4 linked regions of the Anolis sagrei genome follow. The protein of the gene in region 3 interacts with the protein of the main gene of each other region in a biochemical or structural test. Links are inferred from orthologs where the notes say so. Each region holds a gene or a part of one and is shown on either strand. Other genes may lie near its edges.

Region 1 (7,346 bases), about 120 Mb from region 3:
CTAGAAGCATTCTCTCTTGATGTTTTGCCTGCATCTATGGCAGGCATCCTCAGAGGTTGTGAGGACCTCACAGGTTTGGGGTGTGTGTGCTCTGGGGAGAGTTGTGTCAGCATGGCAAGGATTTATGTGCACGTTTTCCATATTTTGGGGATTTTCTACAATTTTCCCCAGGAAAACACCTGTTTTCTGGAATACCTGTCTCATTTACTCATCCAAAATAATACCAACATTGATTCAGTTCAACATCAAACACTTCTTATAATTGGCCTCTGTTTGATGGTGTATCATAACTTAAAAGTCAATTGTTTTCTTTAAGGTTTGTAGTTATTGTGAATATACTTTTTATTATTGTTGCATTGCCTGGATATATTGTACAAGACAGGTGTCTCTGAAATACCTTAAAATAAATAAATGTAACCAGAGTTTAATTAAAGTTCTCATTGGTGGTGAGCAGGTCCTGAGATAAAAGTTTTTTTCAGTTCACCAAAACTAAAAACCACAATAGCATTCCTTGTACTGAAACTAGCATTGGTTATATCAAATATTTGATTTTAACTATGTTTTTAACATCTGTTTTGTATGTTATAAGCTGTCTTGGGTGCACTTGTGGAGAAAAGTGGGGTAAAAAAAATCTGAAATAAATGAAGTATTTAAACGCTACACTTAAAAAAGAATTGTTGGTATTCCTTTTTTTTAATTTAAAGGTTTTTTATTGAGTGAATTGATGACATACAAAACATTAAAAAGAAAACTAGGGATAATCAAGTACATATAATACAGGTATGCCATTCCCCAAGCAGGTACATTGCAACGTTCTCTTGTATGTACCATTTCCCCATAACAGATTGCAATACAGAAATATGTTATGTCTTGCGTCCTATAATATATGGCATTCATCCTCTAGCTCTATTAAAGGTAAGGATTTCCCCTGACATTGTCTGGTCATGTCCGATTCTGGGGGGTGGGTGGTGCTCATCTTCATTTCTAAGCCGAAGAGCCGGTGTTGCTCGTATACTCCTCCAAAGTCATGTGGCTGGCGTGACTACATGGAGCACAGTTACCTTCCTGCCAGCGTGGTAGCTATTGACCTACTCACATTTGTATGTTTTCGAACTGCTAGGTTGGCAGGAGCCGGGTCTAACAGCAGGAGTTCACTGCGCTTCCCTGATTCAAACCACCAACCTTTTGGTCAGCAATTTCCCCAGATCAGTAGTTTAAACTGCTGTGCCACCTGGGGGCCCTCTAGCTGTATTACATACTTGTTATTTACTTCTATCTTCCTTCCCCTTGTTTACCCTTCACCTAGTGATGACCCTTCACTCCAGACCAGCCAGTTGCAATACTTATCAGCATTCCTTAATGAATTCAACACAAACATATATTTCGTAAGAAACACCACATACCTCCAGCCGTGAAATTTGTTGAGGGCCAAAGCTTTCCTCTTCTGTTGATGCATCTATGCTTGTGTCACTCTGCATTTGCATGGCCATGGCTAAAGTTGTTGATGTTTCTAATAAAACAGGAAAAGTCTGCTAAATGATGGGATGTTTCACAGAGCTTGTTTGGTACAAGACTCCATTTGTAAATAAGTGGTTTAAAGGTTTGATATGTTTTAAATGACTATTTCAATGTATATGTTTATTTTACTGATGTATGTTCGTATGGCATTGGATCGCTGCCTATATATATGTAAGCCACTTTGAGTCCCCTACTTGGTGAGAAAGGCAGGGTATAAATTGAGTAAATAAATAAACACATTTACTAGTATTTTTATTGGGCAGTCAAACCCTCTACATAAATAAAATGTAATGTTCATTTGTGGAATTAACATAACTCAAAAACCACTGGATGAATTGATGGTCACTCGTTGACACCTATCAGGTCAACGAGTGACCATCACTCATAAAAACACTGAAAAACACAGTGACAAAAACAACTCCAACCCCAAAAGGCTGTTAGGAATTGTGGGAGTTGAAGTCCAAAACCCTTGGAGAGGCCAAATCTGTCCCTACCTGGTCTACAGCGTGGAACTATTCCACAGCATTGAGCCATGGTAGTTAAAGCCGCCCCGAGTCCCCTTTGGGGAGATGGCGGTGGGTTATAAATAAAGATTATTATTATTATTATTATTATTATTATTATTATTAAAGGTGCCCCATAGGCCATTCAGCCCAACCACTTTTTTCAGTAAAGGAAGACACCACCAAAGCCCTCCCGACAGATGGCTATCCAGTAGGAAAGGAGCACCAGAGGCCATCCAGTCCAACCTCATTGGGCAGTAAAGGAAGACACCATCAAAGCCTACCTGACAAATGGCCAACCACTTGGAAGGGAGACCCAAAAGCCATCTAGTCCAACCCACTTTTGTCTGTCTATCTGACCATCCATCTCTCTACCTTACCTATGTTCTATCCATCTACCTTCAGTTCCGTCTATCAATGGCCTTCCACATGTCTCTTCTGTCTATTGTTTCATGCCTGGAATTCCTCTGTTTTCTGAGGGCCACAGCAACGTGTGGACGGCTAGTATGCTATAATAATACCAATTTAAATCATTCATTTGGGTTTCCTATACAAAAAAGCATACAGCTAATATTGGGTATTTCTACACTGCAGGATTAATGCTGACCAGGCCTGGGCAAACTTGGGCCTTTCAGATGTTTTGGACTTCAACTCCCATCATTCCTAACAGCCTCAGGGCCCTTCCTTTTCCCCCTCAGCTTAAGCGGCTGAGGGGGAAAAGGAAAGGGCCCGAGACTGTTAGGAATGATGGGAGTTGAAGTCCAAACATCTGAAAGGCCCAAGTTTGCCCAGGCCTGGTGTAGTAAATGGACTCACTCTCTCAGCCACACTTGTGGACCATTGTGAGGTTCTGGGAGTTGTAGTCTGAAAAGATACCCCTCTCCCAGTCTCTACGCAGGCCCTTGTCCCACCAGGAAAGAGAAGCCACAGCTGGCCAAACGCCCTCTCTTTGCCCAGTAATGGCGGCCTCACTCAGCCAACATCATTCCCACTCTGAGTGGAAGGCAAACGTTTCCTTTGAAAAACAAAACAAGAACTTCTCAAAGCAGGAGGAAGCCGAGGGGAGAGCCCCCCAATATTATCTGTTTCTGAATATGAATTATGGAGGGGGTGGGGAGAATGAAGCTACCTCAGTGGTTCAGGCCCCGTCTGCTTCCCTGTTTCCTCTTCCTCTCCGCCCACAAATTCGGAAGAGCCCGCCACTGCGTCACGTGACTGCGCTCTCCTGAAGAGTAACGCCTCTGCTGCGAGCTGACTGGTCCGCTCCGGCGTGAGCTTGCCCCCCCCGTTACGCATGCGCACCGCCTCTATACTTGCCCTCTCTCCCCTCCCTTCTTCCAAGAGGCTCTTTTGCAGCCAGACATCACCTTTTGGAAAAGTGTTGTCGAAGGTTTTCATGGCCGCAATCGCTGGGTTGTTGCGAGTTTTCCGGGCTGTATGGCCATGTTTCAGAAGCATTCTTTCTCTAGGCGTTTCGCCCACATCCATGGCAGGCATCCTCAGAGGTTGTGAGGTCTGTTGGAAACTAGGCAAGTGAGGTTTATATATCTGGAATGTCCAGGTTGGGAAAAAGAACTCTTGTCTGTGTGAATATTGCAATTGGCCACCTTGATTAGCATTCAATGGCCTTGGAGCTTCAAAGCCTGGCTGGTTGCTGCCTGGGGGTCCTTTGTTGGGAGGTGTTAGCTGGCCCTGATTGATTCTTGCCTGTTTTTTGTGTTGTTCTTTATTTACTGGCCTGATTTTAGAGTTTTTTTTAAAAAAATACTGATGGTCAGATTTTGCTGTAAATAATTGCGGGAGTTGAAGTCCAAAACACCTGGAGGGCTGAAGTTTATTTATTTATTTATTTATTTATTTCGGTTTCTTCTACCCTGCCCTTCTCACCCCGAAGGGGACTCAGGGCGGCTTACAAAGGCACAATTCGGTGCCAGCGTCACATAACAGTAGTAAAACAAAATAACACCAATTAAACAGTTGAACAGTTAAACAACAATTCCTGCATTACAACCCTAAAACCAATAAAATTTTCCAGATTAGGAACCTCCAGCACCAAATCCTAGAAGCACTTTAGTAGAACCAAGATCACTGCACACTGCACTTATATTATAATCCTACTTTCCTCCCGCCACATCAGCACTTTTAATCCTGTACCCCTACTCTGGCCGGCCCAGTTTTAATAGTGTCTTGTTGTATTGTTACTGTTATTGTTTTTTCTGCTTAACTGTTTTTAATTTTGCTTTAGGTATTGTACTTTTTGTATTGTGTTTTGGGGCTTCGGCCCTTGGGAGATGCTAGCGGGGTACAAATAAAGTTATAATAATATAATAATAATAATAATAATAATAATAATAATAAAACCAATAAAACAAGACAAACCCAATTACTCCTCATAGACGGTCAGCATTCACTATCTCATACTCCAAATTCCAATTCCACATTGTCAGTCCTGTCAGTCCTAGTCATTTGATTGTCCTTATCTAGTTGTCAGATTGCCCGAAGGCCTGGTCCCACAACCACGTCTTTACTTTCCTCCTGAAGGGGAGGAGGGATGTTGATGCCCCAATTTCTCCCGGGAGTGAGTTCCACAGGTGAGGGGCCACCACCGAGAAGGCCCTGCTCCTCGTCCCCATGCCCATGCCTGGTGTAGATGCACTCCTAGAAAGGACTTTTATTTATAGATGCATTATTGTTATTTACATTGTATTAATTATTAATGAAATACATGAGTAGATATTAATTAGCAATTAGTGTTGTTGATATACACCTAGGCCCAGAAGCAGACCAAGTCCTGCAAATGCCCTCACAAGCATTTTATATCTCCTAGTAGTGCAATTAAATTTCACTTATCCCCAGATCCCCTGTCCAGACACACACTATTGCTCTCTCACCTAGTGTTTTTAATTTTTTAATCCTTTGGAATTGGCCCTGCCCACTGAGATTTATCTCTCCATCTTAAATGTTACAATTTTATATTGATGATGTAGTATTTATAATGCTTCGTATTTTATTTTTATTTTATTTATTGCTGTGTTCTATTGTATTTTGATGTATTGTATTGTGGGTTTGGCCATATGTAAGCCACCCTGCGTCCCCTTGGAGAGATGGTGGCAGGGTATAAATAAAGTTGTTGTTGTTGTTGTTATTATTATTATTATTATTATTATTATAAATGTCCCTCCATTGCAATTAGCCTCTTGCACTTAATTGCCCCCCCCCCTTTTTTTTTTACCAATGAGTCGTGTTGCTTCTTAACATGTTTCCACTGCAATAATCTGTTTAATCACCATAATTTCCAGTGAGAATTCAGGCTTGATTTGCCCTAGACCCATTTATTTCTCATTTGGATGATCCATGTCATCCATGTGTCTTCTAGTAGCACATTCAAAATGAGTTGATCTCCACTATCCAGCTTCAAAACATATATAGAAATCAGAAAACCTTTGCAGTGGATGATCCTGACCTTGGTATTTATATAACTTTACACTTTATGTTATGCAACTCTTCCTAGATAGGTTTAAGACGTGACTGGGTATCTGAAGGATGCAGAAACGTTTGCTATTAACTTTCAATCATACTTGATATTTAACTGAGTTGACATAAGAGTCCAATTTCTCACATTTAGGTCATGAGCAGGAAATCAGTATATTTAAATGTGGCTGACTTTTTTTTCTATCTTTAGTTTTAGGTCTTTCCTTGCTGTGTAGGAGGCCAAACCATGGCACCACAACTTATAAAATGCTGACAGCATCAATTATTTTAAATTCACAAGATTTTATTTGTCCATTCAGATAGCAAGTAATTGTTTCAGTAGATTAAAATTTTCAGCCAAAATAAACTCAGCAAAGCCTGGGTAAGAATTAGTGTTAACCACCAATTCTAAGGTATGCTGGTTAAAGCGGCTTGTCTTTGATTCCTTTTATGAACACAGAATAGAAAACGTAGTGGAAACCATTAATCATTGCTTGTGTGGATTTTCTGTCCATGTTATAATTTGTTATGTTCTTGTTATATAATCTGCCATCCTTTCAGGCAATACTTAATGGTATCGAAAGTACTGAACCAGTGCAGGGTTTGTGGAGTCCTTCGGTGGTGTGATATAGCAGCAATCAACTCTCTTCATTTTTTCAATAAACTATTGAAATGATTGATAACTGGGAAATAGAGGGAGAAAACGTAGAGGCAGTGACAGACTTTGTATTTCTATGTGCAAAGATTACTGCAAATGCAGATTGCAGCCAGGAAATCAGAAGACGCTTACTTCTTGGGAGGAGAGCAATGATCAATCTTGATAAAATATTGAAGAGTAGAGACATCACACCGGCAACAAAGATCCGCATAGTTAAAGCAATGGTATTCCCCATAGTCACTTATGGATGTGAGAGCTGGATAGGGAAGGCTGAGTGAAGGAAAATAGATGCTTTTGAACTGTGGTGTTGGAGGAAAGTTCTGAGAGGGCCTTGGGCCGCGAGAAGATCCAACCAGTCCATACTTCAGGAAATAAAGCCCGACTGCTTATTGGAAGGAAGGATTTTAGAGGCCAAGATGAAGTACTTTGGCCACATCATGAGAAGAAAGGAAAGTTTAGAGAAGACAATGATGCTGGGGAAAATGGAAGGAAAAAGGAAGAGGGGCCGACCAAGGGCAAGATGGATGGATGGGATCCTTGAAGTGACTGGATTGATCTTGAAGGAACTGGGGGTGGTGACGGCCGACAGGGAGCTCTGGCGTGAATTGGTCCATGAGGTCACGGAGTCAGAAACGACTGATCGAATGAACAACAACAACAACAGCAATATATATACATTAAAAAGTGGCTGAACCCACCATTTCATTTTGAGCTACTTTTCTTCATAAAGTTTCATAAAGTTTACGGAGACTATGGTTCAAGTCCAAGAATTGGCATAAAATACAGTGGGACAGTTGCTCTGTTGACAAAATTGCCTTCTTAGTGGTATGGCAAGAGAATAGAGTTATGGTAAATCATTCTGTAAAATCGCTCACTTCTGATAGAACAACAGGGAGTGCTAAATATTTTAAATGCTTGTTTAAGATTTGAAGCTACATTATAATTTCTTTTGGAGGACAGTTGTAAATAAAAGCTGAAATTTTGAGTACAAACTATTGAGTTTTAAGCATTCATTCATAATAGATATAAATAAAACCAACAGTGAGAGTCTAGGAAAATATTTGTGAAATAGTGGTATGCACACATCAAAATATGTGGAAAAGCCTTAACAGTTGCACATGTTATAACTAGCACTTTTTTTGCTCTTGGCTTATAGCCACATTCAGGGTAGATCTATCCTTGAACATCCTCATACA
Region 2 (8,177 bases), on a different chromosome or scaffold from region 3:
TGTTTTAAATTTTACTTTACATTTTTAAAAAGTTTACTACCTGGCCACCGGCCTCTCCTCATATGAACCTGTCCAGACACTGCATTCATCAAGTGAGACCCTCCTCTTGGCCTTCCAGCTGGTTGGGATGAGAGAAAGGGCCTCTCTGTAGTTGCCCTCACCTCTGAAACCCTCACCCAAAAGAGATCAGAATGACCCCCATGCTCCCCTCTTTCAAAAAACAACTAAAAGTTATCTATGCTCCCAGGTTTATGGAGAATCAAACATTTCAATATCTGGCTTTCTACACAATTAATGGTCTACAGATAGAGCTTTAATGAAAAATATGGTTTTTAATCTATCAACCTGGCTTTTAATCTTGCTTTTAATTGTTGCCGTGAATCATGTTTTGTTGATTTGTTATGATGTTTCATTATGATAAATTGTTTAATTATTTGTATTTTTAATTTATTATGTATTTGTATTTTGTTATGTATTTGTGTGGCATCGAATGGTTGCCATCTATGTTGTAAGCCACCCTGAGTCCCCAGAGGGAGATGGGATGGGATATAAATAAAGTTTGAAGATAATAATTATCATAGATTCACACAGGCCATCTAGTCCAACCCCCTGCCATGCATGAAAAGCACAAAGTACCCCTGACAGATGGCCACCCAGCATCTATTTAAAAGTTTCCAAGGAAGGAGCTTCCAGCAGACTCCATGACAGAGAGTTCCACTGATGAACAGCCCTTCTTACAATCAAGAAGTTCTTCCTCGTGTTCAGGTGGAATCTCCTTTCCTGTCATTTGAACTCATTACTCCACTGAGTCCTAGTCTCCGAGGCAGCAGAAAGGATGCCGGCTCCCTCCTCTCTTATGACATCCTTTCACATATTGATACATGGCTTTCATGTCTCCTCTCAACTTTCTCTTTTTTCAAACTAAACAAGACACCAGATATTTGATCATTTTGGTCACCCTCCTCTGGTGGGTGACCAAGCTTAGAGTCAATATTATTTATTTATTTATTTCTCGCATTTCTATCCCATCCTTCTCAACCCCTGAAGGTTGAGAAGGACGGCCCCATGGGGCCGACTCAGAACGGCCCCATTCCGAAGCGACTACATAACAAATTACAAAATTAAAACCACAATTAGACATAAAAGCATAAATAACAATACATAAGCCATTGTCAAAACAGTAAAACAGTCTCATCAGCCATATCATCATTCCAGGCACATTCCCTTAAAGTGCTGCTTGCATCTATTGTCCAAAAGCCTAGCCCCAAAACCATGCCTTTAATTTCTTACGAAAAGCTAGGAGGGAAGTGGCCGATCTTACCTCAGTTGAGAGTGTATTCCATAGGCGGGGGGCCACTGCTGAGAAGGCCCTGTCTCTCGTCCTCACCAGGCGCATTTGTGCTGTTGACGGGAGCGAGAGCAGGGCCTCCCCGGATGATCTTAGGTTTCGAGGAGGGACATAGGGGTGGATGCGTTCGAATAAGTAAGCTGGTTCAGAACCGTATAGAGCAGTGGTTCTCAACCTGGGGTCCCCAGATGTTTTTGGCCTACAATTCCAACAACTTCGCTTCTGGCCAGAGCGAAGACAGAAGGGAGCAGAAGACATTTCCATCTTGTATTTACTAATAATATAATATAGTATATTGTATATACATATAATATTTATAACATTATAATGTAATACAATATAATACTAGTAATAATAATTCAATATTATAATTATAATTATATATTTACATTACATGTAATATTACTAATAATATTACAATATAATGGTATAGTGCAATATAGCAATATATACTGATATTGTACTATGCTAATATAATATATTGTATGAAAATATATATTGTAAGCCACTCTGAGTCCCCTTCGGGGTGAGAAGGGCGGCATATAAATGCCGTAAATAAATAAATAAATAAAACTCCCAGAAATCCCAACCAGTTTATCATTGGTTAGGATTTCTGTGAGTTGAAGGCCAAAAACATCTGGGGACCCCAGGTTGAGAACCACTGGTATAGAGCTTTATAGGTCAAAACCAGCACTTTATTTATTTACTTACTTACTTACTTTGCTTGTATACCGCAGTTTCTCAGCCCGTAGGCGACTCAACGCGGTTCACAACAAGATCAAAAAGTCAGTCCAACAGCATAGTTTAAAAACCATTAACAGCATAGTATAAAAGTAATAACACATCAATAACAACACATTAACGTCTCGTAACTAGAATCGTAGTCCAATTCGTCATCCGTGATTCCGTTCCTATATTCATCGTATTCATTGCACTGTTTAACCGAATGCCTGTTTAACCTTTATCTCTTTTGAACTGTGGTGAACAGAATTGGACACAGAATTCCATGTGAGGTCTGACCAAAGCAGAATACAAAGGCACTAAGACTTCCCTTGATCTGGACCAGGCATGGGAAAACTTAGGAATTGTGGGAGTTGTAGTCCAAAACACTTGGAGGGTCGAATTTGCCCATGCCTGCTCTGGAGTATTAGTTGTTGTTCTTATTGCATTTGCGTCTCGCCTTGGTGCGGGAGAAAAGCGGGGTACAAATCGACTCAGATAAGTAAATAAATCAATATTGCCTGCCAGGGATCTATGAAGCCAGTTTCTGAAACGGGAGGAAATAGAGAATGCGTGTCCTACCTCGCAGGGCGGCAGGGAAGACCCTTCCTGAGGGAAACAGCTCCTTTGGGGGGCCAGGGGGGCCTCCTAGGGGTCTCCCTCCCATTTACAAAGCTCCTGAGGGAAGAGAAGGGAAGCTGCCCCTCCTGAACGCCTTTTCCTCCCTCAGCCGAACTCTCCTTTCTCCCTCTCAGGCCAGGAGGCCGGCGGAGGGTCGAGAGGAAGGGAAAGGCCCGAAGCCTGAGGGAAAGAACCGGAGAGAAAGAAGGGGAGAGGGGGAATCAAGCAGGGGGGACGAGGAGAAGGAAGCTGCGGGGGGAAAAGGGGGCCCCTTCCGAACTGCGCCTTTACCTTTAGTTCCGCACTGTCCGCCATCTTGAATCGCGGGGCGCATGCGCAGTGGGCTCCACCGAGAACCCCGCCCCCTCCGCCGCCTCGGCCTGCGCGCGCTGCGTTTGAATCGGCGCCGCCGCGCCTGCCGCCATTTTGTTTGGGTCCCGCCTCAAAGCGGGGTTGGGACCCGAGGCGGGAAAGGAGTCCCAACCCCCCCCCCCCCCCTCCGTCGCCCCGTAACCCAGACTTCTCGATATTGTACACATATTACATTCATTTTCCTCATAACCACGGTGAGGATGAAGTCAATGGCGTTTTGAAGGGGTGTTGAGGAGAACTTCAGGCTGGTTCTGGGAAGGCGCATGCGCAGAAAGAAGCGCGCCTAGCCACTGGATTCCAGGCTTGTGAAGGAAAAAGAGCCTCAAGTTGACTGTGATCCAGATAAAGGCCTCGCTTTTACCTCACCACATCCATGGAGAAGAGTCGGGACTGTCCTTTGGGAGTCTCTATATATATCTACATAAGCCAGAAATGGAAAAGAATAGCACAGGATCATATATGTCATGAGAAATGGTAGTTTTGCATGAAGCCAATGGGATTGTGGCCTGCATCAATAGGAGCATAGTGTCTAGATCTAGGGAAGTAATGCTACCCCTTTATTCCACTTTGGTTAGACCACACCTGGAATATTGTGTCCAATTCTGGGCACCACAATTCAAGAGAGATGATGACAAGCTGGAATGTATCCAGAGGAGTGCGACTAAAATGATCAAGGGTCTGGAGAACAAGCCCTATGAGGAGCGGCTTAAGGAACTGGGCATGTTTAGCCTGAAGAAGAGAAGGCTGAGAGGAGACATGATAGCCATGTATAAATATGTGAGAGGAAGCCACAGGGAGGAGGGACCAAGCTTGTTTTCTGCTTCCTTGGAGACTAGGACGCAGAACAATGGCTTCAAACTTCAAGAGAGGAGATTCCATTTGAACATGAGGAAGAACTTCCTGATGAGAGCTGTTCAGCAGTGGAACTCTCTGCCTCGGAGTGTGGTGGAGGCTCCTTCTTTGGAAGCTTTTAAACAGGCTGGGTGATTTGAATGCAATATTCCTGCTTCTTGGCAGGGGGTTGGACTGGATGGCCATGAGTTCCCTTCCAACTCTTTGATTCTATGATTCTAAGCCCATGGAATGGATCAACGACAAATCAGAATAGGAAAAATTGTTTGCCCACAGACTGCAAAAAAACAGTTGACTGTATTCAAGATAAAGACCTCAGTTTTACCTCCCCACATCCTTAGCGAAGAATCAGGACTGTCCTTTGGGAGTCTCTATATATGTCTATATAGGCCAGAAATGGAAAAGAATAGCATAGGATCATATATATTATGACAAATGGTAGATTTGCATGAGTGGATCCATCACAAATCGGAATCGGAAAAATGGACTCCTTTGAGGATTTGTGGAGCCCACAGACTGAAAAAAATAGTTGACTGTATTCAAGATAAAGGCCCCACTTTTACCTCACCACGGCCATGGCGAATAATCAGGACTGTCCTTTGGGAGTCTCTATATATGTCTATATAGGCCAGAAATGGAAAAGAATAGCATAAAATCATATATATTAAGACAAATGGTAGATTTGCATGAGTAGATCCACCACAAATCGGAATCGGAAAAATAGACTCCTTTGAGGATTTGTGGAGCCCACAGACTGCAAAAAAACAGTTGACTGTATTCAAGATAAAGGCCTCGCTTTTACCTCACCACAGCCATGGCAAAGAGTTTGGACTTTTACAAATAAAAATGTAATGTTCGTTTGTGATATTGACAGAACTCAAAAACCACTGGGGGAATTGACACCAAATTTGGACAGAACACAGCATTCAGAGCAATCTATGTTCTGCACTCAAAAAAAATCCTCCCAAAAAACAGCAAGACCTTAAATTTTAAAAGAGAACACTGTGCATGCATCCAAACGCATTATCTTCTCCCCCATCCCCGCCGCACGAGCACAGCCAGCTCGAGAGGCATCCCACAGCCATGGCAGAAAGAAGCGCCTCCCTCTCGCCTGCTCTGCGCCTGGCTCCGAGGATCCTTCCTTCCAGCACCCAGGCAAGAGGTAAAGCAGGGAAGGAAGGGAAGCAGCAAAGAAAGGAGAGAAAGAAAGAGGGAGGGAGAGAAAGAAAGCAGGAAAGAGAGAAGGAAGGATGGAAGCGAAGAGCAAAGGAAGGAAAGGGAGAGAAGGAAGAAAGGAGAGAAAGAAGGAAAATAAAAGAAAAGGAGGGAGGAAAGTGAGATGGAAAGGAAAAAAGGAAGGCATGAAGGAAAGAGGGAGAGAAGGAAGGAAGTTGAGAGAGAAAGAGGGAGGGAAGGTCGGCCACAGCACCTACTAACCCAAGGAGTTACCATCACTCAAAAAATTGAGTTTGTTATTTGGGAGTTGTAGTTCCTGGGATTTATAGTTCACCTATAATCAAAGAGCATTCTGAACTCCACCAACAATGGAACTGAACCAAACTTGGCACACAGAACTCCCATGACAACAGAAAATACTGAAAGGGTTTGGTGGGCATTGACCCTGAGTTTTGGAATTGTAGTTCACCTCCATCCAGAGAGCACTGTGGATTCAAATATTGATGGATCTGGACCAAACTTGGCATGAATGTTCCATAAGCCCAAATATGGACACAGATGGAGTTTGAGGGACATTGCCATTTGGGAGTTGTAGTTACTGAGATTTATAGTTCACCTACAATCAAAGATCATTCTGAACCCCACCAACGACAGAATTGGGGCAAACTTCCCACACGGAACCCCCATACTGAAGGCCATCCAGTCCAACTCCCTCCACCAGGTCAAGAAAACGTAATCAAAGCCCTCCTGACAAAGAGCCATCCAGCCATAGATTAGATAGATTCACACACAGAGAGATATAGTATAGATTTGAAAGGGACCCCTAAAGAAGGACAATTTCCATCTTGCATGTTCCAAAGTAGGCAAATCAGACAATCTCCACATCAACACTGACAAAGAAACAGCAAGAAATACTGTTGACCCACAAGCATAAAGACATTACATATATTAGAAACCAGCACTTTCTCATTACTTGATTTTCCAGGTCATCAGACGGCCACAACAATGCGTGGCAGGGGAGAGCTAGTATCTACATAAATAAAATGTAATGTTAGTTTGTGGGATTAACATAACTCAAAAACCACTGGATGAATTGACACCAAATCTGGACACAAGACACCTCTCATGCCAACAAGTGACCATCACTCATAAAAACACTGACAAACACAGTAGAAGGGACTTAAAAAGCCAAAAAACAAAATTTACATTGCAACGCATGCCAAAACCACATATACATACGTAAACACACATATACAAACATAAACACATATACATAGACTGGGCCACAGCAATGTGTGACAGGGGACGGCTAGTAGGAATATATGTGTGTGTGCTTATATATATATCGGCCAGAAATTGGAAGGAATTGCACAGGATCATATATATTTTGACAAATGGTAGATTTGTGTGAGCCCCAATGGAGTGGGTTGACAACAAATTAGATAAAGGAATAGGAAAACTCTGTCTGCTATGTTGATATGTGAAGCTGAGCTTATGGAAACATCGTTTTGTGGTTGCATTTCACCACAAAATATTTTAAAAGAAGAATACATTTCTGCGGAAACACTTCCCCAACATTTTATAGGCCATTATTTTGGTGTCACCTAAAATAATGGTAAAACTGAGGCCTCTATACTTTGAACGTATCGTGACACGAAGGTACTTAATGGAACTCATAGAAGATTGCACTGCAACTGGATGGATTCGGTCATAGGAGCCATGGCTGCTGAATTTGCAAGGTCTGAGCAGAACTGTTTTGCTGTCTTCCATATAGCATTCACATGACAGCAAATAATGACAACTGTTGATAAACTATTGTTATTTAATAACAATAACAACTATTAGAATTGTGATGGACATTCTGTGACATCAGCTCAGGCAGTGCCTGGAGTGGAATTATTCCTCCCCATTTGAGATAGATTCTGGAAGGTGATTTATATCAGCTCAACCAGAAAATTTGACAAAACCAGTGACTAAAAACCAGCAACAGTGAAAAGAGCACATTTTTGTAGTCCCTACAGATGAAACTGCACAGTACAGTTGAAGCTGGGTAATAATGAAGCATATCCACATTAGAAGGTAAATGAACACAAAGCTTTACCTTTTAGCAATATTGACACAGCATATATATATATATAAACTGGCCTAATGAAAAATATATTATGTGGTTATATCTAACTAAAAAGGTTGCTAAGAGTGATTTGGTTACGTATTTGTGGACTGGATGCCCCTTGGGGTCTCTTCCAACTCTATGATTCTCTCCTCTCTATTTTATTATTATGTTATTTTAGGTATTTATTTATGGGGACATTCACACGCAGCCTTTGAGTACCTCCTACATAAGTGCTCGACAGATTGTCACCTTGTCCTGGTGAGGGGGCTTGCGTGTTCCAATGAACCTGCGGGTGTAACCACTGGAGTCATGTACTCCTAGGAGGGGCCACAGGGGAGAATCCAGACTAAGAACAATACAAAGACCTCAATGGTGGAGCAAGCGGAAGATAACATGATACATGTTACAACGGCTGTGAAGGCGGAATAAGGTGTGCACCCCACTCTGTGAAGACCGTGTGCTGATTGGTTGTGCACTAACCTCCACACATTAAAAAATTCGCACACAGGAGTCTTCCAAGTTTGAGGACCAGGACGTCCGTAGGGAGACCAAGGTGCTTGTTTATAAAGCTATTGTCCTCCCAACCCTGTTATATTTCTGTGAAATGTGGACTTTCTACACACCGCACACTCAACTCCTGGAATCAGTGTTACCTCTGAAAAATCCTGCAAATCTCTTGGGAAGACAGGCAGGCAAATGTCAGCGTGCTGGAAGAAGCAAAGACCATCAGCATTGAAGCGATGCTCCTATGCCATCAACTCCGCTGGACTGGCCACATTGTTCAAATATCAGATCACCATCTCCCAAAGCAGTTACTCTACTCACAACTCAAGAATGGAAAACAGAATGTTGGGGGACAGGAAAACAGATTTAAAGATGGGCTTAAATCCAACCATAAAAACTGTGGCATAGACACAGAGAACTGGGAAGCCCTGGCCCTTGAACACTCTAACTGGAGGTCAGCGGTGACCAGCA
Region 3 (8,292 bases):
GCGCATTCAGAAGAAGATCTACAAGCCACTCCAAACACCTTCGCAGAGCATACGAGAAGCTCGGCCTGTCATTGAACATCGAGAAAACCAAAGTGCTCCTCCAGCAGTCACCAGCCAACCCCTTTCCAATGCCAGAGATACAGCTTAATGGTGTAACATTAGAAAATGTTGACCCTTTCCGCTACCTTGGCAGCCACCTCTCCACCAAAATCAACATCGACACTGAAATAAAACACTGCCTGAGCTCTGCGAGTGCAGCATTCTTCCGAATGAAGCAGAGAGTGTTTGAGGACTGGGACATCCATAGGGATACCAAGGTGCTTATCTATAAAGCTATTGTCCTCCCAACTCTGCTATATGCCTGTGAAACCTGGACTGTCTACAGACGTCACATGCAACTCCTGGAACAATTCCATCAGTGCTGCCTCCAGAAAATCCTGCACATCTCTTGGGAAGACAAGCAGACAAACGTCAGCGTGCTGGAAGGAGCAAAGACCACCAGCATTGGAGTGATGGTCCTCTGCCATCAACTCCGCTGGACCGGCCACGTTGTCCGGATGCCCGACCACCATCTCCCAAAGCAGTTGCTCTTCTCCAAACTCAAGAATGGAAAACGGAATGTCGGTGGACAGGAAAAGAGATTTAAAGATGGGCTCAAAGCCAACTTTAAAACTCTGGCATAGACACTGAGAACTGGGAAGCCCTGGCCCTTGAGCGCTCCAGCTGGAGGTCAGCTGTGACCAGCAATGCTGTAAAATTTGAAGAGGCACGAATGGAGGGCGAAAGAGAGAAACGTGCCAAGAGGAAGGCGCGTCAAGCCAACCCCGACTGGGACCACCTTCCACCTGGAAACCAATGCCCTCACTGCGGGAGAAGATACAGGTCAAGAATAGGGCTCCACAGTCATAGAATCATAGAATCATAGAATCAAAGAGTTGGAAGAGACCTCATGGGCCATCCAGTCCAACCCCCTGCCAAGAAGCAGGAATATTGCATTCAAATCACCCCTGACAGATGGCCATCCAGCCTCTGTTTAAAAGCTTCCAAAGAAGGAGCCTCCACCACACTCCGGGGCAGAGAGTTCCACTGCTGAACGGCTCTCACAGTCAGGAGGTTCTTCCTCATGTTCAGATGGAATCTCCTCTCTTGTAGTTTGAAGCCATTGTTCCGCGTCCTAGTCTCCAAGGAAGCAGAAAACAAGCTTGCTCCCTCCTCCCTGTGGCTTCCTCTCACATATTTATACATGGCTATCATATCTCCTCTCAGCCTTCTCTTCTTCAGGCTAAACATGCCCAGTTCCCTAAGCCGCTCCTCATAGGGCTTGTTCTCCAGACCCTTGATCATTTTAGTCGCCCTCCTCTGGACACATTCCAGCTTGTCAATATCTCTCTTGAATTGTGGCGCCCAGAATTGGACACAATATTCCAGGTGTGGTCTAACCAAAGCAGAATAGAGGGGTAGCATTACTTCCTTAGATCTAGACACTATGCTCCTCTTGATGCAGGCCAAAATCCCATTGGCTTTTTTTGCCGCCACGTCACATTGTTGGCTCATGTTTAACTTGTTGTCCACGAGGACTCCAAGATCTTTTTCACACGTACTGCTCTCGAGCCAGGCGTCACCCATTCTGTATCTTTGCATTTCGTTTTTTCTGCCAAAGTGGAGTATCTTGCATTTGTCACTGTTGAACTTCATTTTGTTAGTTTTGGCCCATCTCTCTAATCTGTCAAGATCGTTTTGAATTCTGCTCCTGTCCTCTGGACTATTGGCTATCCCTCCCAATTTGGTGTCGTCTGCAAACTTGATGATCATGCCTTCTAGCCCTTCATCTAAGTCATTAATAAAGATGTTGAACAGGACCGGGCCCAGGACGGAACCCTGCGGCACTCCACTTGTCACTTCTTTCCAAGATGAAGAGGAAGCATTAGTGAGCACTCTCTGTGTTCGTCCACTTAACCAATTCCAGATCCACCTCACCGTAGTTTTGCCTAGCCCACATTGGACTAGTTTCCTTGCCAGAAGGTCATGGGGGACCTTGTCGAAGGCCTTACTGAAATCCAGGTACGCTACATCCACGGCATTCCCTGCGTCTACCCAGCTTGTAGTTCTATCGAAGAAAGAGATCAGATTAGTCTGACATGACTTGTTTTTGATAAATCCATGTTGACTATTAGCGATGACCGCATTTGTTTCTAAGTGTTTGCAGACCACTTCCTTAACAATCTTTTCCAGAATCTTGCCCGGTATCGACGTGAGGCTGACCGGACGGTAGTTGTTTGGGTCATCCTTTTTTCCCTTCTTGAAGATTGGGACCACATTGGCCCTCCTCCAATCTGCTGGAACTTCTCCCGTTCTCCAAGAACTCTCAAAGATGGTTGCCAATGGTTCCGAAATGACTTCCGCTAGTTCCTTCAATACTCTGGGGTGTAGTTGATCTGGCCCTGGGGACTTGAACTCATTAAGAGCGGCCAGGTATTCCTGAACGACTTCTTTCCCAATTTGGGGTTGGATGTCCTCCAAACCCTCATCCACTCCATCTTGCTGAGGTTGAAGACTCTCTTTTTGTGAGAAGACCGAGGCAAAGAAGGCATTAAGTAGTTCTGCCTTTTCCCTATCCCCTGTCAGCATTGCCCCATCTTCTCCTCGAAGAGGTCCTACCGCCTCCTTGTTTTTCCTTTTTCTACTGACATAAGAATAGAAGCCCTTTTTATTGTTTTTAATGTCCCTGGCAAGTCTGAGCTCGTTTTTTGCTTTAGCCTTGCGGACCTTTTCCCTACAGGTGTTGGCTATTTGTTTGAATTCTTCTTTGGTGATTTCTCCCTTTTTCCACTTCTTGTGCATGTCTCTTTTGTGTCTTAGCACAGTTAGAAGTTCTTTGGACATCCATTCTGGCTTCTTTGCACTTGTCCTATTTTTTCTCTTTGTTGGCACAGTTTGCAATTGCGCCTTGAGTATTTCACTCTTGAGAAATTCCCATCCATCCGTAACTCCCTTGTCTTTTAGTATCTGTGTCCACGGAATGCTGCTCAGCGTTTCCTTCATTTTTTGGAAATCAGCTCTCCTAAAGTCCAAAATGCGGGTTTGACTTGTCTTAGTTTCGGCCTTCCTTTGTACCTCAAATTGCAGGAGCACATGGTCACTTGCCCCTAAGGATCCTACCACTTCGACCGCATCGATCAGGTCCTCCGCATTTGTTAAGATGAGATCAAGAGTAGTCAATCCCCTTGTTGCTTCTTCTACCTTCTGGACCATGAAATTGTCTGCAAGGCAAGCGAGGAATTTGTTGGACCTTGTACTCTTGGCCGAGTTTGTTTTCCAGCAAATATCGGGATAGTTGAAATCGCCCATGACTACTACATCTCTTCTCTGTGCCTGTTTGGTCAACTGTTGGCAGAAGACTTCATCAAGTTCTTCCTCCTGGCTTGGGGGTCTGTAGTAGACGCCTACAACGACATCTTTTTGAGTCCCAGTTCCCTTGATTCTTATCCAGATGATTTCAAGCTGGTTTCCCAGATTGCTGTCTTGAATCTCTTCTGTAGCATAAGAGTTTTTGACATATAAGGCTACTCCGCCTCCTCTCCCCTTTGTTCGGTTTCTGTGAAAGAGGTTATACCCCTCGATATCTACATTCCAGCGATAGGAGTCATCCCACCAGGTTTCAGTGATCCCTATGATATCATATTTGTGGTGTTGTGCTAAAAGTTGGAGTTCGTCTTGTTTATTTCCCATGCTCTGTGCATTAGTGTAAAGACATGTGAGCCCCTGAGATCTTCCCCTGAGCTGTTTAATTGGGATTATTGTGCTTTGGGTACTTGGTCCTTGTTGTGTTTGTGCAGCCCTCCGTTTAGCCTTCTGGCGATTCCCAGATATTGTGGGTAAAGTAGTGTTCGCAAGTCACCTACAGACTCACAAGAATTCTGATCCTGGAGGACTATCCTACTCCGCCGACGAGGGATCGCCTAAGAAGATATTCTGGGATATAGGGCTGTGTGGAAGGGCTCTTGAGTCCACACTCAGGTGCATTGTCTGCCTTGATAGTCTGGGCTATAGGGTGTGTGGAAGTGCCCTGAGTCCACACTCAGATGATGTGGGATTCCCTGCCTTGATATTTTGGGCTATAGGGCTGTGTGGAAGGGCCCTGAGTCCACACTCAGATGATGTGGGATTCCCTACCATGCTATTCTGGGCTCTAGGGCTGTGGGGAAGGGCCCATAGTCCACACTCAGATGATGTGGGATTTCCTGCTTTGATAATTTGGGCTGTAGGGCTGTGAGGAAGGGCTCTGAGTCCATACTCAGATACATTGTCTGCCATGCTATTCTGGGCTATAGGGCTGTGTGGAAGGGCCCCGAGTCTACACTCAGATGATGTGGGATTCCCTGCCTTGATATTCTGGGCTATGGGGCTGTGTGGAAGGGCCCCGAGTCTACACTCAGATGATGTGGGATTCCCTGCCTTGATATTCTGGGCTATGGGGCTGTGTGGAAGGGCCCTGAGTCTACACTCAGATGATGTGGGATTCCCTGCCTTGATATCCTGGGCTATAGGGCTGTGTGGAAGGGCCCTGAGTCTACACTCAGATGACGTGGCATTGTCTGCCTTGATATTTTGGGCTACAGGGCTATGGGGAAGGGCCCTGAGTCCACACTCAGATGATGTGGGATTTCCTGCCTTGATATTCTGGGCTCTAGGGCTGTGTGGAAGGGCCCTGAGTCCACACTCAGGTGATGTGGGATTCCCTGCCATGCTATTCTGGGCTATAGGGTTGTGTGGAAGGGCCCTTAGTCCACATTCAGATGGTGTGGGATTGCCTTCCTTGATATTCTGGGCTATAGGGCTGTGGGGAAGGGCCTTTAGTCCACATTCAGATGATGTGGGATTGCCTGCCTTGATATTCTGGGCTATAGGGCTGTAGGGAAGGGCCCATAGTCCACACTCAGATGATGTGGGATTTCCTGCTTTGATAATTTGGGCTCTAGGGCTGTGTGGAAGGGCCCCTTCTCGGCCTGTTTTGCTTGCTTCCCCTCCCTTCCTCCCTCTGCGCGTGTAGGAAGTGAGCTCAGGCGGCAGAGAGGAAGTCCCGCCCCCTCCTTGCCCTGCGCTCTCGCCTCTCTTGCTGGCTCCGCGTTTGGAGGAGGAGGAGGAGGAGGAGGAGGAAGGCAGGAGGGAAGGCGCCTAGGGGTCTCTCTCTCGGGGCAAGGCAGGAGGTGGAGAGGGGACGCGGCGAGGAGGAGGAGGAGGGCGGCTGCCTGCCTGCCTGAGCCCGCCACCCATCAGGATGTCGGACACGGTAGGAGGACGCCTTGCCCGCCGGCCCCGGGAGGCCTGTTTCCGCGGCTCCCCTCGGGGAAAACAAAGGCGGGATCCGCACCGCCGCGACTCCAGGCCATGCCGTTCTCGGCAGTGCAGGATCCAGCCAAGATGGGGAAGGCCAACCCACCATTCCTTGCCTTGCCTGCCTTCCCTCCTCTTCCCTGCGAGGCTTGGCTTCAGAAGAGCCTTCCTCTCGGCTTCCCTTTCAAGGATCCCACCCCTTCTCCCTCTTCCTTCCTTCCTTCCTTCCTTTGCGGGGATGATCTGGACTTGGAGTGAATGGAAAAGGAGGCCGAAGTCTTCCTCCTGGGCCTTGTTTTGTTTACTTGCCAATACACCCAGACCGCAGTGCACGAGTTGGGTCTGTTTGTTTACTTGTCTCAGCGCCGGAAACGAAAGAGGATGACATAGGCCTGCGTTTAGGGGGTGTTTTTTTTTTAGTCTTAGACCCCCATCTAGACTGGATCTACACTGCCATATAATCCAAGGCCTTTCCACACAGCCACATGACACAAAACATCATGGCAGGTAATCCACAAAATCTGATTTGAACCGAGTTATCTGAGTCCACACTGCTATATAATCCAGTTCATTGTGGATTTTATACCGCGATGTGGAAGGGCCCCCAGATTATCAAAGCAGATAATAATCCACATTGTCTGCTTTGAGTTGGATTATAGGAACCCCCCTTCCACATAATCCAGATTATCTGCTTTGAACTGCATAATAGGATGCCCATTCTACACTGTACTATAATCTAGATCAGGGGTCCTCAAACTTTTTAAACAGAGGGCCAGGTCACAGTCCCTCAAACTGTTGGAAGGCCAGATTATAATTTTTAAAAAAATGAATGAATTTCTATACACACTGCACATACCTTATTTGTAGTGCAAAAAACACTTAAAAACAATACAATTAAAATGAACAATTTTAACAAATATAAACTTCTTAGTATTTCAGTGGAAAGTGTGGGCCTGCTTTTGGCTGATGAGATAGGATTGTTGCTGTTGCTGTTGTTGTTGTTGTGTGCTTTCAAGTCATTTCAGACTTAGGTTGACCCTGAGCAAGGGCCGGATAAATGACCTTGGAGGGCCGCATCCGGCCCCTGGGCTATAGTTTGAGGACCGCGACCTAGATTGTCAAAGCCGACACTTCATATTATTGAAGCAGATTTTCCACTTTGAGCTGGATTATAGAAGGCCCCTTCTACCCTGCCATATAATCCAGATTATCATATCAGATAATCCACGTTATCTGCATTGAACTGGATTATAGGAAACCCCTTCAACACTGCCATATAATCCAGATCAGGGGTCCTCAAACTAAGGACCGGTGGCCGGATATGGCTCTCCAAGATTATTTACCCGGCCCTCGATCAGGGTCAATCTAAGTCTGAAATGACTTCAAAGCAGATAATCTGGATTGTATTTGGTAGTGTAGAAGGGACTCAAGTCTCATATCCATACTATAGTTTCTGAACACAATGGTTCTGTTTCTGTATCTAGATTTAGTATGAATTCTGTAAAAGCAATTCTTCCAAATGCTACAAATCTTTTGTCTTCCATCATTACTATTAATTACAATTTTTCTTTTGTCCACCTTTATTGTCCTCTAATTCAACCTTGCAACTTTTAATTTACTTCTCATTGCAAGTGGCAGATTTGAAGTACGGGTAACGTACTATATTTACATCGCACTAGTGAGTTGATCCTTAGTTTTTATTATTGTATTTTGATTCTGAAGTTAACAGCTCTTATAATTCTCAGAGCAACTTTTGTAGCTGATAGTCAAGATACTTCAGAAGATGCAAAAGACCATCAAAGCAGTAGGGAAACAAAACAACAAACAAAACAACTGGAAGCAAAGCTTCTGAATATATGCTGCATTAACTGCAGTGACAACATCTCAACTCCAATATGCAGGTTTGCAAGTTCTTATTTGTGTTTAATTTTTTCATGATTAAATACATATGCATTATGCCTGCCAGGATTTTCCATAGCAGGGTATCGTGTAAAAGGTTTCTACCTGGTTTCTTAATACCAGATGGAAACTTAAGTACATATTTATTTGGCATATTTTCAGCTTTTCAGAGAAGTTTATACCATTTTACCATTGGCTTCTATGAGCAACCCAAGGCACCCGGCTTTCTTTTAAAAAAGAACCAGAAGTTGGGTAATGCTTACTGTTGGTACCAGATGCTTGCCCTTATGTTTCTAGTTGTTAACTTTTCTGATTGGAGGATTACTGTATTTCTTTGATTCTGAGGTGCCATTGATTGTAAGACATACACTAATTTCAGTACTACCAAAATAATAATAATAATAATAATAATAATATTACATTACATTTTTTGATGTCAGGACTTGAGAAACTGCAAGTTGCTTCTGGTGGCCCTCTGCAAGGATGTTGCCCAGGGGATGCCCTGGTGTTTTACCATCCTGTGGGAAGCTTCTCTCATGTCCCTGCATGAGAAGGTGCAGCTGATGGGAGCTCACCCCGCTCCCCGGGTTTGAACCGATGATCTTTCGATTAGTAGTCTTGCTAACACAAGGATTTAACCCAGGGCTCCTCAAACTTTTTAAACAGAGGGCCAGGTCACAGTCCCTCAAACTGTTTTTATGAGTGACCATCACTCATAAAAACACTGAAAAACACAGTGGAAAAGACATTAAAAGCAAAAAAATAAATAAAATAAAAATACATATCACAACACATGCACATAACCACCTAAGTACACATATACACAAATATATACACATACACAAAAAAACACATGCACAGACTGGGCTACAGCAACGTGTGGCAGGGGACAGCTAGTCTATATAAATAAAAATGTAATGTTCGTTTGTGGGATTAACAGAACTCAAAAACCACTGGGCGAATTGGCACCAAATTTGGACAGCATACACCTAACAACCCAATGTATGTCCTTCACTCAAAATGTTTTGATTTTGTCATTTAGAAGTTGTAGTTGCTGGG
Region 4 (7,784 bases), on a different chromosome or scaffold from region 3:
TATTTTAAGTTATATTACTATATTATATTATATTTATTATATTACATTACTATTTAATATCATTTTAATCAATATTATTATATTACATTAGTATTTAATATTTTAAGTTATATCACTATATTATATTTATTATTTTATTTAATGTTTTATATTACTATATTATATTATATTTACTAAATTATTTAATATTTTAAGTTATATTACTATATATTATATTTATTATATTACATTACTATTTAATATCATATTAATCAATATTATTATATTACATTACTATTTAGTATTATTTATTATTATAATTATACTATATTAAATACTGTTATTCTTCTATTAATATGATTACATTTATTTTACAGCATTATTATTATTATTATTATTATTATTGGGTTGTTGTAGGTTTTTCAGGCTATATGGCCATGGTCTAGAGGCATTATATTATATTATTATATTATTATTTTTAATAATATTATTATATATTTTATAATAATATTACATTATTATTTTAATAATATTACTATATTGTTACATTATCATTGTTATATTATTATATCATTATTTTAATTATATTGTTATATATTTTTATTATAATATTATATTATTATGTAATATAATTATATTATATTATTATTTTTAATATTACTATATTATTATATTATTACTGTTATATTATTATTGTATCATTATTTTAATTATATTATTATTTTAATAACATTACTATATTATTATTACATTATTATTGTTACCTTATTATTATATTATTATATAATATAATATTATTATTTTTAATAATATTACTATATTATTATATTATTACATTATTATTGTTATATTATTATTATAATATTATTTACATCAACCTCATCATTCTGCCTTAGTACTATTATAATTATACTGTATTAAATACTGTTATTATATTAATATAATTACAATTATTTACAGTATTATTATTTTAGGGAAGGAGCCAGTCTGATGTCCACGGGAAGGGCGTTCCACAGCCGAGGAGCCACCACCGAGAAGGCCCTGTCTCTCGTCTCCGCCAGGCGTGCCTGTGAGGCAGGCGGGATCGAGAGCAGGGCCTCCCCGGACGATCTCAAAGTCCTGGTGGGCTCGTAGGCCGAGATGCGGTCAGATAGGTATCTTGGGCCAGAACCATTTAGGGCTTTAAAGGCCAATGCCAGCACCTTGAATTGAGCCCAGTAGCAAATCGGCAGCCACTGGAGCTGGTACAACAAGGGCGTTGTGTGCTCCCTGCATCCCGCTCCTGTTAGTAACATGGCTGCCGCGCGTTGGACCAATTGAAGCTTCTGGGCCGTCTTCAAGGGCAACCCCACATAGAGAGCGTTGCAGTAATCTAAGCGGGATGTAACCAGAGCGTGGACTACCGTGGCCAAGTCAGATTTCCCAAGGTACGGGTGCAGCTGGCGCATGAGCCTAAGCTGTGCGAATGCTCCCCTGGTCACCGCTGAAACTTGGGGTTCCAGGCTCAGCGATGAGTCCAGGGTCACACCCAAGCTGCGAACCTGTGTCTTCAGGGGGAGTGTGACCCCATCCAGCACAGGCTGTAACCCTATGCCCTGTTTGGCCTTGCGACTGACCAGGAGTGCCTCTGTCTTGTCTGGATTTAATTTCAATTTGTTCGCCCTCATCCAGACCATCACAGCGGCCAAACACCGGTTCAGGACCTGGACAGCCTCCTTAGTAGCAGGTGGGAAGGAGTGACAGAGTTGGGCATCATCCGCGTACAGATGGCACTGTACCCCGAACCTCCAGATGATCTCTCCCAACAGCTTCATGTAGATATTAAACAGCATGGGGGATAGTATTGAACCCTGTGGAACCCCACAAGACAAAGGTTGTGAGGTAGAACAGGTGTCCCCCAATAACACCTTCTGGGTGCGACCCTCCAGGAAGGACCGGAGCCACCGTAAAACAGTCCCTCCAAGACCCATTCCCGCGAGGCGTCCCAGAAGGATAACGTGGTCAACAGTATCGAAGGCCGCTGAGAGGTCCAGCAGCACCAACAGGGACACACTCCCCCTGTCGAGCTCCCGGCGCAGATCATCCACTAAGGCGACCAAGGCCGTCTCGGTACCATGTCCCGGTCTGAAACCAGACTGTGCCGGATCCAGATAATCCGTGTCTCTCAAGAATACCTGGAGTTGTGAGGCCACCACACGTTCCAGGACTTTGCCCAAAAAGGGGAGATTGGAAACTGGCCGGAAGTTGTCAAATTGAGTGGGGTCCAATGATGGTTTCTTCAACAGCGGTTTTATCACAGCTTGCTTTAAGCTGGCTGGAATTCTGCCTTCCCGAAGGGAGGCATTAACCACCACCTTCACCCACTCGGCCAATCCCCCTCTGGCCTCCTTCAGAAGCCAGGATGGGCAGGGGTTATATTACTATATTATATTATATTAATTATATTATATTATTATTTAATATTTTAAGTTATATTACTATATTTTATTATATTTATTATATTACATTACTATTTAATATCATTTTAATCAATATTATTATATTACCTTATTATTTAATATTTTAAGTTATATTACTATAGTATGTTATATTTATTACATTACTATTTAATATCATTTTAATCAATCTTATTATATTACTTTATTATTTAATATTATTTAATAAATATTATATTACATTACTATTTAATATTATTTTAATTAAAATTATTATAACTATACTACATTAAATACTGTTATTCTTGTATTAATATAATTATATTTATTTTACGGCATTATTATTATATATTATTGACATCAGCCTGACCATTCTGCCTTGAGATCCTCCTCCTGCGTGACGTCACTTCCGCCCTCTCCCAAGCCCGAATCGCCGCCATCTTGTGCGGCCTACTTCCCCTCACGAAGCCTCCTTGGCGGTACTTTTTCACCCCGAGCCGGGCTTCCCGGGCCCCCCTATATTTCGGGCACCCCGCTTCCTTTGGGGACACCCCCGTGGTCCCCCGAGGCCGGCTTTTTCCCTTTTTCGGAGCCCGCTCCCCGATTTCCGCCTACCTTCAGCTCGGCCGCCTCCGCCATCTTGAGGCATCCTCGCTAGGGAGCGGAGGCAAACTCCCAAGCTGAGGCGCAGGCGCAGAAGAAGCCGAAGCCAAAGCCACGCAGGAGGGGGCGGGGCCTCCAGAAACCACGCCCACAAAGGGGCGGGGCCGAAGGCAGCCTCGGTAAAGAACGGCTTGGGAAGCTCCAGGGAGCGTCGCTAAAGAGCTAACCCTCGCAGCAGACGCAGAATAGGATGGAATAGTTATTACTAAATGTTGGGGAAACTGGAGAAATAATAGAAAATATTGGAAAGAACGATAATAATAATAAATAATAGAAAATATTGGAAATAATAATATTAATAAATAATAGAAATTATTGGAAATAATAATAATAATTAGAGAAATAATAGAAATATTTGAAATAATAATAATAACTAGAGAAATAATAGAAAATACTTGAAAGAATAATAATAATAAATAATAGAAAATATTGGAAAGAATAAAAATAAAAATAAATAATAGAAAATATTGGAAATAATAATAATAATAAATAATAGAAAATATTGATGATGATAATAATAATTAGAGAAATAATAGAAAATATTGGAAATAATAATAATAAATAAATAAATAATAGAAAATATTGATGATGATAATAATTAGAGAAATAATAGAAAATATTGATGATAATAATAGCATAATAATTATAATTATTATTAAATGTTGGAGAAACTAGAGAAATAATAGAAAATATTGCTAATAATAATAGCATAATAATAAATAATAGAAAATATTGGAAATAATAATAATAACTAGAGAAATAATAGAAAATATTGATGATAATAATAATAACTAGAGAAATAATAGAAAATATTGGAAATAATAATAGCATAATAATAAATAATAGAAAATATTGGAAATAATAATAATAAATAATAGAAAATATTGGAAATAATAATAATAAATAATAAATAGAAAATATTGGAAATAATAATAATAACTAGAGAAATAATATAAAAATATTGATGATAATAGCATAATAATAATAATAATAATAATAATAATAATAAAATGTTGGAGAAACTAGAGAAATAATAGAAAATATTGGTAAATAATAATAATAGCATAAAATAATAGAAAATATTGGAAATAATAATAATAATAATAATAATATATGCTGATGACAGTGCCATCACCGCCCAAGCAGAGAGCTTTGAAATGGTTGAACAGAAGCTCTCCAAAGCTTTAGCTCAATGTTTCCCAACCTTCCTAATGCCTCTTAATACAATTCCTCATGTTTAACATTGACACAAATGACCAGCCACTGCCAGAAGGGAAAAAGACTTTAATATACGCTGACGATCAGGCCATCACCACTCAAGCAGGGAGCTTTGTAATGGTTGAACAGAAGCTCTCTGAAGCTTGAAGTGCTCTAACCGTCTATTACAGGGAAAATCGACTGATTTCTAATACATATAAAATGCAGAGAAAAATGTATAAAATCAAAAAGGACTTCATAGGAAATCTGCTACAAAACAGGAGCTTTTCTGTTGAGTTTCAGGGCCAGAGAAGCAGATGGCGAAGATAGAAAAACGACCTGAATCAGGGGAGTGTGCTTACTCCGTGCATGTTTAACATTGACACAAATGACCAGCCGCTGCTAGAATGGACAGCAAGTTTAATATACGCTGATGATCATGCCATCACCACTCAAGCAGGCAGCTTTGTAATGGTTGAACAGAAGCTCTCCAAAGCTTTAGGTTCTCTTACTGCCTATTACAGGGAAAACCAGCTTGCAGCATTCATGTTTACATTGACACAAATGTCCAGCCACTGCCAGAAGGGACAGAGAGTTTAATATACGCTGATGATCATGCCATCACTGCCCAAGCAAGGAGCTTTGTAATGGTTGAACAGAAACTCTCCGAAGCTTTAGGTCAGTGTTTCCCAACCTCCCCAATGCCTCTTAATACACGTCCTTGTGTTTAACATCTACACAAATGGCCAGCGACTGCCAAAAGGGATAGTTTAACATATGCTGATGATCGTGCCATCACCACCGAAGCAGAGAGCTTTGTAATGGTTGAACAGAAGCTCTCCAAAGCTTTAAGTCAGTGTTTCCCAACCTTCCTAATGCCTCTTAATACGGTTCCTCAAGTTTAACATTGACATGAATGACCAGCCACTGGCAGAAGGGATAGAGAGCTTCATCTATGCTGACGATCATGCCATCACCACCCGAGTTTGCTGTAGTGTGCTGTTCCCAAAGTACATTCGGAAATCTTTCCCTGTGGATACGGGACTTGTATGGTAGAACACTTTCAGAACCATAACTCGCAGCCCTTCCCCTGAGAAAAATGTATAATATCACAAAGGATGACCACTGACTTTTATTTTAATCTCATTTTATTTATTTTTCTGCCCATCAGTCGTCATTTGTCCTCAGGATCCGCAGCAGCATCTCGTGCACCTCTTTGTCCATGAAGCCCTAAATTGGAGACATATTTTCATTATTATTATTATTATTATTATTATTATTTATTATACTGACACAGCAAATGAGGTCCATAAGCTGGCTCTCATATCACAAAAATAATATAATAATATATAATAATGATATGATTATTATTGCAAATAATAATAATAATAATAATAACATTAATAGTATCATTATTATCATTATTATTAAATATTGTTGGAGAACCTAGAGAAAATATTGGAAATAATAATAATAATAATAATCACATAAAATAATAGAAAATATTAGAAATAATAATAATAACTAGAGAAATAATAGAAAATATTGGTTATAATAATAATAACTAGAGAAATAATAGAAAATATTGGAAATAATAATAATAACTAGAGAAATAATAGAAAATATTGGAAATAATAATAATAATAATAATGGCATTAAATTAAATACTGTTAAACCTAGAGAAATAATAGAAAATATTGGAAATAATAATAATAATAATAATAATAATAGCATTAAATTAATTATTGTTGGAGAATCTAGAAAAATACTAGAAAATATTGGAAATTAATAATAATAGCATAATAATAATTATATAAAATAAATAATATTATATAATAATAATAATAGCACAATAATTATATAAAATAAATAATATTTAATAATAATAAATGTGATATTTATATTATTATTATTATTATTATTCCAATATTTTCCATTATTTCTCTAGGATTTTCTAGGTTCAGTATTTAATGATGATGATGATGAGGATTATTATTATTATTATTATTAAATATAGTTGCAGAACTTAGAGAAATAATAGAAAATATTGGAAATAATAATAATAATAATAATAGCATTAAATATTGTTGGAGAACCTAGAGAAATAATAGAAAATATTGGAAATAATAATAGCATAATAATAATTATATAATAATAATAATAATAATAATAATAATAAATGTTTTGAAGATGCAAGGCCATTCAATGCCAATTGAAACATTCCCACTTGCCTCCAAAAGACAAGAGAAATAATGAGAAATATGGGAACTAATAATAATAATAATAATAATAATATGAGTCTTACCTGGGCCGCATTGAGCAGGTGAGTTCGGTAAATGGCCACAATCTCTTGATGGTTTTTCTGGGCCACCTGTTAGGATAAATGTTGATATAAATATTATTAATATTAAATATTTGCAGAAAAATAGGAATATATTGCATTCTAGGAATATTAATATTATTAAATGTTGATGGTGGAAAAGTAATTGATAAATTATTTATATATCCAATTGGATTTTCAATTAATTGTTAATTCTGCTAATCTGTATCATTCCAATTTTAGTGTATGTGCTGTTGAATATTCTGTGAATATTTCATTTATCCTACATTATTTATTATTATTATTATTAATAATAATAATATTTATTTTTCCTGCAATTATTATTAATATTAATTTTCCTGCAATTATTATTTATTTTTCCTGCAATAATAATTATTATTATTATTAATGTTCCTGCAATTATTATTATTTATTTTTCCTGCAATAATAATAATAATAATAATAATAATTAATTTTCCTGCAATTATTATTATTGCAGGAAAAATAAATAATAATAATTGCAGGAAAATTAATAATAATCATAATTGCAGGGAAAATATTATTATTATTATTATTATTGCAGGAAAAATAAATAATAATAATAATTGCAGGAAAATTCATAATAATAATAATTGCAGGAAAAATCTGCGATTATTATTATTTATTTTTCCTGCAATAATAATTATTATTATGATTAATTTTCCTGCTATTATTATTAATGTTGCAGGAAAAATAAATAATAATAATTGCAAGAAAATTCATAATAATAATAATTGCAGGAAAAATTATTATGATTATTATTGCAGGAAAAATAAATAATAATAATTGCAGGAAAAATAAATAAATAAATAAATAAATAATGCAGGAAAATTAATTATTATTATTATTAATTTTCCTGCATTTATTATTATTATTATTAATTCTATTTATTTTTTCCATATTTATTTCACCTCGTTTTGCAGGCGGAGGCGGGTGCGTTCGCTCCGGAGGTTCAAGATTTCGCTGGAAAGCTTCTCCGTTTCCTTCAACAGCTTCTTGAACTGAGATAAAACAGAAAATATATGGTGATGTCTATCAGGAGACTTGGACTAGATGACCTTTGGGGTCCCTCCAAAGTCTATAATGCAATGACTATCAGAAGACTTGGGCTAGATGACCTTTAGGGTCCCTCCAAACTTGGACTAGATGAT

What was found.
Region 1: the proteins of SUMO1 (region 3) and RAD51 form a complex in vitro, tested with the Homo sapiens proteins (2 studies listed by BioGRID and IntAct). The link is inferred for Anolis sagrei from reciprocal best matches to the Homo sapiens genes SUMO1 and RAD51.
Region 2: the proteins of SUMO1 (region 3) and PIAS1 form a complex in vitro, tested with the Homo sapiens proteins (6 studies listed by BioGRID and IntAct, with this or other methods). The link is inferred for Anolis sagrei from reciprocal best matches to the Homo sapiens genes SUMO1 and PIAS1.
Region 4: the proteins of SUMO1 (region 3) and PIAS3 form a complex in vitro, tested with the Homo sapiens proteins (2 studies listed by BioGRID and IntAct, with this or other methods). The link is inferred for Anolis sagrei from reciprocal best matches to the Homo sapiens genes SUMO1 and PIAS3.

Annotation. Positions count from the first base shown.
Region 1 is NC_090021.1:289,656,271-289,663,616, forward strand, and holds the start of RAD51 (DNA repair protein RAD51 homolog 1), read right to left. Parts: upstream 3,251-7,346; 5' UTR 3,151-3,250; intron 1,511-3,150; 5' UTR 1,491-1,510; coding exon 1,404-1,490; intron 1-1,403.
Region 2 is NC_090029.1:24,240,681-24,248,857, forward strand, and holds the start of PIAS1 (E3 SUMO-protein ligase PIAS1), read right to left. Parts: upstream 3,054-8,177; 5' UTR 3,005-3,053; coding exon 2,981-3,004; intron 1-2,980. UniProt on the Homo sapiens protein: Functions as an E3-type small ubiquitin-like modifier (SUMO) ligase, stabilizing the interaction between UBE2I and the substrate, and as a SUMO-tethering factor. Catalyzes sumoylation of various proteins, such as CEBPB, MRE11, MTA1, PTK2 and PML.
Region 3 is NC_090021.1:165,250,505-165,258,796, reverse strand, and holds the start of SUMO1 (small ubiquitin-related modifier 1), read left to right. Parts: upstream 1-5,084; 5' UTR 5,085-5,278; coding exon 5,279-5,290; intron 5,291-8,292. UniProt on the Homo sapiens protein: Ubiquitin-like protein that can be covalently attached to proteins as a monomer or a lysine-linked polymer.
Region 4 is NC_090032.1:21,885,582-21,893,365, reverse strand, and holds the start of PIAS3 (E3 SUMO-protein ligase PIAS3), read right to left. Parts: upstream 3,138-7,784; 5' UTR 3,054-3,137; coding exon 3,030-3,053; intron 1-3,029. Other genes in the region: ANKRD35 (ankyrin repeat domain-containing protein 35), read right to left, coding at 5,442-5,504, 6,580-6,645, 7,545-7,634. UniProt on the Homo sapiens protein: Functions as an E3-type small ubiquitin-like modifier (SUMO) ligase, stabilizing the interaction between UBE2I and the substrate, and as a SUMO-tethering factor.